Macaca fascicularis: one gene and its partner. The protein of the gene in region 1 interacts with the protein of each later gene in a biochemical or structural test. Links are inferred from orthologs where the notes say so. Each region holds a gene or a part of one and is shown on either strand. Other genes may lie near its edges.

Region 1 (4,155 bases):
TACTTTGTGCCCCACTCTCAATCTTCCCTACCCGGCCCCTGTTTTTCCTCTCCCACAGTGTTAGTTACCTTCTAACCTATGTAATTTGCTGCAGTTTGCCTCCCTACTGTTAGTGTTTGTCTTCCCCTACTCGGATGCAAGCTGCACAAAGGCAGGGAGGGAAGTTCAAGAACCTTGAACAGACAGGCATATGGTAGTTGCTCAGTAAATACCTACTGAGTTAATAGTACAGTATAAGTGGAATGTAAGAAGGAAACATCATGGCCTTGGTACCTAAGCGCCTGAAGTTTTGGAAACACCCATCTAGCCCAGTGGCCTCCTTATACAGCTGGGGAAACTGAGGCCCAGAGGCCAGGTTCACACGGCAGTGGGTCAGTGGCTTAGAATTCATCTCCTGAGTTCCAGGGTCCCTCTCCCACCCTCCTAAGAGTGGGTGGACAGTGCAGGAAGGGAGAGGGAATGGGAGCAGGGAGGGGAAGCAGAAGGGACATGGGGAGGGGCGTGCTCATCACCATTGATCTGTAGCTGGAAGGAGAGCTGGACCTCAGCGTCCTCATGGAAGGCCCGCATGGTGTAGTGGCCAGCCTCTGCCACCTTCACCCGAACGAGTGTCAGCTCTGACACATACCTGGGGAGCAGGAAAGGCAGCTGTCAGTCAGAAGGCCTCTTACAGTTCTCCCCACCCTCCTGGTATAAACAGGAACAAGGACCAGGGAGCGGAAGAGCTTGCCAAGGTCATCTAGGCATTGGTAGCAGAGCCGGGACTCAAACCCGGTCTCATAAATCCTCACCCATAGGCAGTTCCCCTAAGCCAAGAGGGAGGGTTGAGATGGACTGTGGGTGGGGGTGGGGAGCATTGAAGGGAAAGTCCTATTTCTCTCCCCTTCAGACAGGTGGACACTGCTCCATCCTAACCTGTCACAGTCTATCGGCCAGGCAATCTCTAGCCTCAGGGATACCACAGGCCATGAATGGTCTGCCTGGCACCCTCTTCCCCAGTCATCTGCCCGTTTACTTCTTAGCTGCTACTGCTGGCCCCACCCATCATAAGCACAACTAAACATCTGGGTGATCATCTGACCGGCGTCTGTTTCCTCCACTAGACTAGGAGCTCTAGGAGGGATGAACTGGCAGCTCTGGTCGCTGCAGCATCCCCAGCACCTGGCACCTAACATGCTCTCAGAAAGTTGGGCCTAGGTTTGTGGCTGAAAGCCAAGGGCTGCCTGGTGGCTGCAAAGAAAAATAACTTCAAGAATGGGGTGGGAGAGCGAGCTGCTCACCTGGTCTCTGACACGTTGCGCGTGGACAGGGCGATCTCGCCTGCGCTGGAGTCGCCCAAGGTGCGGTTGTCTTTGAACCACAGGACGGTGGGCGGAGGGTAGGCCTCGAACACTACCTGCAGTGTCCGGCTCCGGTGCAGCTCAGCAAATTGTAGTGCTCCCACCTCTCCCAGGAGCCGCACGTAGCCACTCTCTGCAAGGGGTGACCATCAGGGGCGGGCCCTTGGGGCAGGGCACCAACTGAATCCCAAAGGAGGCCAGCCTGTGAGGCGGGGCTTCAGGCCTGCGGACCCTGCTGGCCATGAAGTTCCCCGAGCTGAGGTTGAAATTGGGCTGGGGACGGGGCCTGGAGAAGGGGCCGAATTTGGGGCTGATGTGGATGTCGGGGCTGGCTCCCAGGTAGGGACCAGAGTTGTACTAACAGTTCTCTGTTCTGGGTCAGTAATGTGGCTGATTCTGGGACTAGTGATAAAGTTGAACTAGTGGTAAGGTTGAATTTGGGGATGGGGCTTCCTGGACCTGGGATGGCAGTTGGGCTTGGAAGTCAGGTTGGGGCTGGGGCTCTGGCTAGTCAGAAAGTCTAGGTTGAGATAGGGTTGGATTTGGGGTTGACACTGCACTTTGGTTTGGGTTTGTCTTGGTATTGGGGTTTTGGTTGGCACAGAGGCTAGCTAGGGCTGCACTGGAGTGTGGCTGACTATATCCCGGGGCTGTGACAGGCGGTGGGTCCAGCTCAGACTGGGGGTTGGGCTGAGCCCAAGGCACGCACCAACCACAGTGATGTTGATGGCCTTTTCATCCTGATGGTCATTCACACTCTCTGTCACATTGCAGGTGTAGGTCCCCGAGTCTTCTAACTCGGCACTGGGGATGTGCAGGATGGAGCGGATGTGGTAAGGCATATCCAAGAGGAAGTCGGTCACCGGCTCCACCAGCCGCCCACTCTGCAGCGACAGGTTGGGCAGGCCCCCCAAATCAGGAGGGGCCGGGGGAAATCAGTTTGCAGTTCAGATATTCACCCCTGCCTGGCCCCCCCTCCAACCCCTGCCTGGCCCCACATTACTTCTTTGCGGGGGTACATCCACTCGAAGTTGACCACCTCATTCCCGATCACAATGCACATGAGGGTAATGTTCTCACCCTGGCGGACCACCGTCTGCACTGCATTCACGGAGACGTTGATGGATGACACTGGTGGAAAGAGATTGGCTTAGGGCTGGGGAAGTCACCACCAGCCACCACTTCAGCTTGGGGATAGGGTAGGGGCTAGAGAGGGAAAGGATGACTGATGTAGAAGATTCATTCATTCAACAAATATTTACTGAATACCTACTACATGCCAAGTACTATTCTGGACACTGGGGCAACAGTAGTGAACAAAATGGACAAAATCTCTGTTCTTATGGAGCTGACATTCTAGAAGGGATAACAGACTGGAAATCAAAGTACACTCTGGAGATCTACGTACAGGAGAAATGTATTGAGCACATACCATGTGCCAGGTACTCTCCATCTTTTATTGTATTTAATCTTCACAATGATCCTATGAGGTAGGCAGTCATTATTATACCCACGTTACAAGAGGGGAAGCAGGCTCAGAGAGATTACGTGCTTTGTGTAAACTTACTCAGACGGGAAATAGCAAAGCTGGGATTTCGACCCAGCTGGCTCAGAAGCTCGTGCCCTCACCAACCATGTTACACAGGCCAGCTCTGCCGCTATCGAATTCTGCGACAGAGGACAAACTCCATCCTCTCTCTGCGCGTGAGTTTCCTCATCTGTAACATGGGGAAAACACTATCTCCCTTCCAAGGCTGTGGTGAGAATCCACTGGGAAGTGGAGTCTCACACTTTGTAAACTGTAAAGGGCTATTGCTCTGTGGAGGGTTATACTTGCCTGGGCTGAGCATCAGGCCAGAAAGGGGGCTCACCCTGGAGTCTGTAGACATAGTAGGCGTCAGAATCCACCTCCCTGTCCCCAATGGTGGTTTTGCAGATGTAGCTTCTGTCCTCAAAGATACCAGAAAAGCCACGCTGGTGATCGTAGGGGACAGGCAGTGCAATGTCCCCTTTCTTCTCGTGCAGTGTCACCACCAGTTGTGGGTCTGTTACTCGGCATGGAATGGTGATCTCAGTTATTTCCGTAAGAAAGATGAATAGTTCCTCGGCGTCATTAGGGAGGAAGCCCACGGTGGGATCTGCCAGGAGTGGAGCCATGAATGAGTCAGGGAAACCGGGTTTCTGGCCATCCCTTGAATTGCTGTGTGGCAAGTCATTTGCTGTCTCTGGCCCTCTGTCGCCCCGTTACAGAATAGGGATACTCCCAGAGGAGCATAAATCAAATGTTAGAGCTGGTCCCTTCCAGCTCTAATGTTTGATATTGACAGCGCCAGGGTAAGAAAGAAGGCAAGTCACAAGTTGAAATGCAGCTGATATCTGGAGCTTGGAGAATGGGGAAGACGGGATGTGGGGTCAAGAGGGAGCAGATTGGAAGCAGCTGAGAATATAGAGTTCTTGGGAGGCAGGAATGGGGTGACTGTCAGGGAGCAGGCAGATCATCCAGACCAAGGAGTGGGGGCGAATACACTGCCGGACTGAGCCAGGCTGGTTCCATGATTGTCTGCTTTTCTAGGATGGCGGCATTTCACAACAAACTAAAGCACTCTCTGGACTTCCCCTGGTGCCTCCAGTTGAAAAAGGGGTAAGGAGTGGGCACACAGCCTGGGGACCCTTACCTGGCACAAAGATATAGAGCCGTTTCCGCTCATCAGGCTCCAGTCCACGGGAGTCATTGTAGGTGCAAAAGTATTCTCCCGTGTCTAGCCCAGTGAGGTTGGTCAGTGTCAGCACACTGGAGAAGGTATTGTCCTGGACC
Region 2 (4,255 bases), on another chromosome or scaffold:
GTCTTCTCTGGACCTCAATATCCTCATCTAAGAGCTCTGAGGGGTTTCAGCTATCTTGAAAGTCTGGTCCAGCTCAAAAAGGCACTGATTCCCTGAAATATCCATTATCAAAATGAACTGCTGAATGTGGATTTTGAAGATGCTTCTTCTGAGAGCCTTTTAGATTTCCTATTTCATAATGTATCCAAAAAAAAAAAAAAAGAAGAGAGTCCTTTTGAGGTTCTACAGAACAAACCATAGAGGAAGGAAATATTTAAATACAGGACAAGTGTAGAGTGGCAATATGCTAATGAAATACAAGGAAGGATTGAGCAAGCAATAAATTTACCCAAGAAACTTTTTGCTGATTGAAAGCACAGCTAGCAACCAGTATGGCTGGAGCAAAACAAAAAATTATATTTATAATTTAAAATTTTTTTTGCTGAAGCGAAAAAATAAATTACATATATATTTAAAAACAAATGAAGCTTTAAGTTGGGAGGTTTTCTGTTTTTTGTTTTTTGGGGTTTTTGTTTGTTTTAGCATAAACTTTGATACAAGAAATCTTCAAATGCAAGGCTTTTTTAATTTCAGACACTGCTTCCCTGAATTTCCTTGCATGGTCAGGGAGAAGACAGCCCCCCCACACACTGTACCTTAATAATGAGAATCCCATCTGGAAACCCTTAATATTTACAAAGCTCTTTTAGACATTGGCCAGCGGAAGCCCCTCAAACAATTCCATCGGGAAGGGGGTGCTACACCCATTCTACAGATGCTGTTAACTGAGGGTAGAGGAGCCTGAAGAGGAAGTCCAGCCCTGCGGCCTGGACCTGGAGCCAGTCTCCTGACATCTACTCCAAGGTTCTCTGCAGGAGGTCACATTGCCTTCCGGCCCCCAGGAAAGCCTGTGCAGAACCTGCTGAGGAAACTGCGAGGAGAGACCCCTGGATGCCGAGGGTCACGCAGCCCCTAGGCCCAAGCCCCTTTCTCCTACTGCCTGCTGGGCGGCATTTCTGCCCCAGGGAGATGCTTCTGCTCTCTCCTGTATTCAAGCTGGAGAAGTTTTCCCTGAAACCAGGTTCCATCCCCAGTCAATAACTCATTTCCTCAGAGATGGTGTCTGTATAAACCAAGCAAGACGGTCATTTGCAGAAACGCACAGCAGGGCAGCCCCAGGCCACTTCCCCTGCGAGTTCAAACCCCGATAGGCTCCAGAGGCTGAGAGAACGCGCCCGCTGGCTCAGCTCCCATGGCACGGGCTGGGTGCTCCGCTCTTTCACTTCTCTTCCTCAGTTCCCCATCTGTGAAATGGGAATGCCCCTCAGCTGCCCTGCCTCACCCCCTATGGAAATGCCAGGAAGGGGAAAGGTCGGTCACCAAAACGCCAGGGACAGCATTATCCGAAAAGTGAAGCAAGACAAGAGGGCGGGGGTGGGGTGGGGACGGGGAGCCGGCGCCCACAAAGCACGAATTAAACACCCATGAAATCAAGCACGACGCCAAAAGGGCCGGCTACCTTGAGAAAAGCCAGCGTTCGGCCACCTTTTCCCCGGCCTGGGAACTTTCCCCAGAAACAGCGCCCTCGGCCCCGAGTCCCGTGCCTCGCCCAGGGCCCCACTGCCCAGCTCCTGGCCCTGCCCTGGCGCCCCCGCCGCCCCTCGGGCCCCTGCAGGCCGGGTCGGAGGTCGGTCGGCAAAGGCTCGGCCAGGCCGCCCGGCACTGCGTCCCCAGACCTCCGCAAACACGCCCCCTCCGGCCGCCTCGGGCTGGCAAGCCGGGCCCGTGCCGGCCAGATGTGCCCAGCGCCGGGAAGAGCCGGGCCGGGGACCGCCTGGAACCCGCGCGGAGGCTTTCCCCGGGAGGCTCGGGCACCGCGGAACCCGGATCCCGCCTCCCTCCCCCTGATCCTGGGCAGCCGGAAAAGGGCTCGGTCGCCGGCGTGCGAGGCCGGCCGGGGTCCCCGCAAGCCGCCTTCAAGAGGGGGGATCCGAGGATCCGGACCCTCGCCCCCTTCCATGGAACCCCCCAGGCGGGGTACTCCCAGGCAGGTGCAGGCAATGCCAGTCCCGCCCCAGCCTCCTGGCCCCCGCCCGAGCCCACCCGGCGCTTACCTGGCCCAGGAGCAGCAGCAGCAGCAGCAGCGGCAGCGCCCAGCGCAGCCCGGGTGAGCGCGGAGGCAGCCGCGCCTCCCGCGCCGCCGGCTTCATGCCCCGCGCGCCCTGGAACGTGCCCGGGACGCGCGAATCGGGCCCCGCCGTGCGCCCGAGCCCGGGCACCGTCGTCGCCGCCTCCTGCCGCCTCCTCCGCCTCCTCCTCCGCCAGCCGGTCCGCCTCGTCCCCGCTCCGCCCGCCCCGGGCTTCCCCGGGGACATGGCAGCGGCGGCGGCGGCCGCGGCCACACGCCGGAGCCTGGCGCGGCTGCCGCGGGGGGGCCGCGTCCCTGAGCGCGCAGGGGCTTCGCGGGGCGGAGCGAGCGGCGCCCACCCCCAGTGCGCGGCTCCCCGGTCCCGGCTCCCGCGGCTGCTCCCGCTGCCTCCTCCGCGCGTCATGCGGCTGGGGCTGCAGGGAGCCGCGGCGAGCGCTCGGCCCCCTCCCTTCCCCTCCCCCTCTGAATATTCATCGCTTCCTCCCGCCCCGGCCGGCCCGGCGGCTGCCGAGCTCCGCAGCCCCTCGCCGCCGCCCGCCGCTGCCCCCGCCCCCTCCGAGCCGGCCGCTGCTCTCCTCCCGCGGGCAGAGGAAGCGCCCCCGCCTCGCCCGCCCCTCCGCCCAGCCCTCCCACATTCCTGGGACTTCGAGCCCAGGACCAGGCTCCGTGGCTCTAGCGCCTCGAGCCGGCACCCCTCAAGACGGGCTCCCCTTCTCTCACCCGGTCCACGGCGCCGGGTTCGGGTAGGCAGAGGTTGACCGAGACCCCTGCTGAGAGCGCAGCCAAGCCTTATTGTATACAGCATCCCGGCGAAGGCGCGCTTGACCTGTCCCTGGGTGGGCTTGGGGGTGCGTGAACCCAGAAATTGTAGGAGGCACGCTGTACATTGTGTTCTGTCCCCCAGACCCCGAGCGCCGGCCAGGGAGGCAGAGAGCCCAGTAGAGGCCAGTCCAGGGATTAGAACCCCAGCGGTGGCATATGGTGGACCGGGCTCTGCTGGCAGTACCAGCTCTGTGAACTCTGGAGACGCATTTCTCCTCTCTGGCCGCTCCCACACCCACCTCTCCTCCCGTGTGAAATAAAGATCGTACTAGGACCTGTGTAGAGAGAGGTCCACTGCACTCACGATTAGACGGGACAGTGGTTAGTAAAGTCCTAAATACCTGGCCTGACACATCGTGGGACTCCACATATGTTAGCTCTTCTGGAAGCTTTCATCACGTTGTTAAAGAGGTCCATGAACTGACAGGAGTTAAAAATCACAGCAGATATTACTCCTGTGCCCATGCACAGAGGAAGACGCTAGGATCAGGGAGGCTAAGCCACTTGCCCAGGAGAAGCCGCGAGAGAAAGGGCCAAACCAGAGAGTGCTAAGGAGGAAGAGGTTAATTCCAACCAGGAGAGAGGTGACACCTGAGCTGGGCTTTGAAGGATGGGTTGAGTTTCACCAGGCCAGTAGAGGGGAGAAGTGTCTCAGGAGGTGGGGCCAACTTGGCAGAAAAGAGGCAGCAGATGCTTCAAGCTTGGCCTTGGGAGAAACAGGAATGGGAGGCTGGGGGATTCATACAGGGAGAGACTTCAAAGGCCAGGATAATGAGTCTAGGCTGGATTCTGTGTGCAGACCACCAGGTGGCCAACGCTACCTCCAGACACCCCTTGGGTCTCAGGTTACCATCTACAAGATGGAAACACACATTCACGTACAGGGTCTACGTGGCTCCCACCAGACGACACACCCAGAGAAGCACTAAGGATAAAGAAACTTGGCCGAGCCGCAGGATGGCTCACGCCTGTAATCCCAGCACTTTGGGAGGCCGAGGTGAGTGCAACACCTGAGCTCAGGCGTTTGAAACCAGCCTGAACAACAGAGTGAAACCCAGTTTCTACAAAAAATACAAAAATTAGCCGGGTGTGGTGGCACACGGCTGTAGACTAAGCTACCCGGGAGGCCGATGCAAGGATGGCTTGAACCTAGGCTGCAGTGAACCAAGATGGCGACATTGCACTCCAGCCTGGGGAATAAGGTGAGACCATGTCTCAAAAAAAAAAACAGGCTGGGCGTGGTGGCTCAGGCCACGCCTGTAACCCCAGCACTTTAAGAGGCCAGGGCAGGCAGATCATTTGAAG

Evidence for each region. The genes of interacting proteins can lie anywhere in the genome.
Region 2: of the proteins of PDGFRB (region 1) and PTPRJ, one has a biochemical effect on the other in vitro, tested with the Homo sapiens proteins (2 studies listed by IntAct). The link is inferred for Macaca fascicularis from reciprocal best matches to the Homo sapiens genes PDGFRB and PTPRJ.

The regions. Positions count from the first base shown.
Region 1 is NC_088380.1:157,016,365-157,020,519, forward strand, and holds part of PDGFRB (platelet-derived growth factor receptor beta), read right to left. Parts: coding exon 4,016-4,155; intron 3,479-4,015; coding exon 3,212-3,478; intron 2,472-3,211; coding exon 2,344-2,471; intron 2,225-2,343; coding exon 2,050-2,224; intron 1,474-2,049; coding exon 1,281-1,473; intron 629-1,280; coding exon 513-628; intron 1-512. UniProt on the Homo sapiens protein: Tyrosine-protein kinase that acts as a cell-surface receptor for homodimeric PDGFB and PDGFD and for heterodimers formed by PDGFA and PDGFB, and plays an essential role in the regulation of embryonic development, cell proliferation, survival, differentiation, chemotaxis and migration.
Region 2 is NC_088388.1:17,853,803-17,858,057, forward strand, and holds the start of PTPRJ (receptor-type tyrosine-protein phosphatase eta), read right to left. Parts: upstream 2,538-4,255; 5' UTR 2,532-2,537; coding exon 2,094-2,531; intron 1-2,093. UniProt on the Homo sapiens protein: Tyrosine phosphatase which dephosphorylates or contributes to the dephosphorylation of CTNND1, FLT3, PDGFRB, MET, KDR, LYN, SRC, MAPK1, MAPK3, EGFR, TJP1, OCLN, PIK3R1 and PIK3R2. Plays a role in cell adhesion, migration, proliferation and differentiation.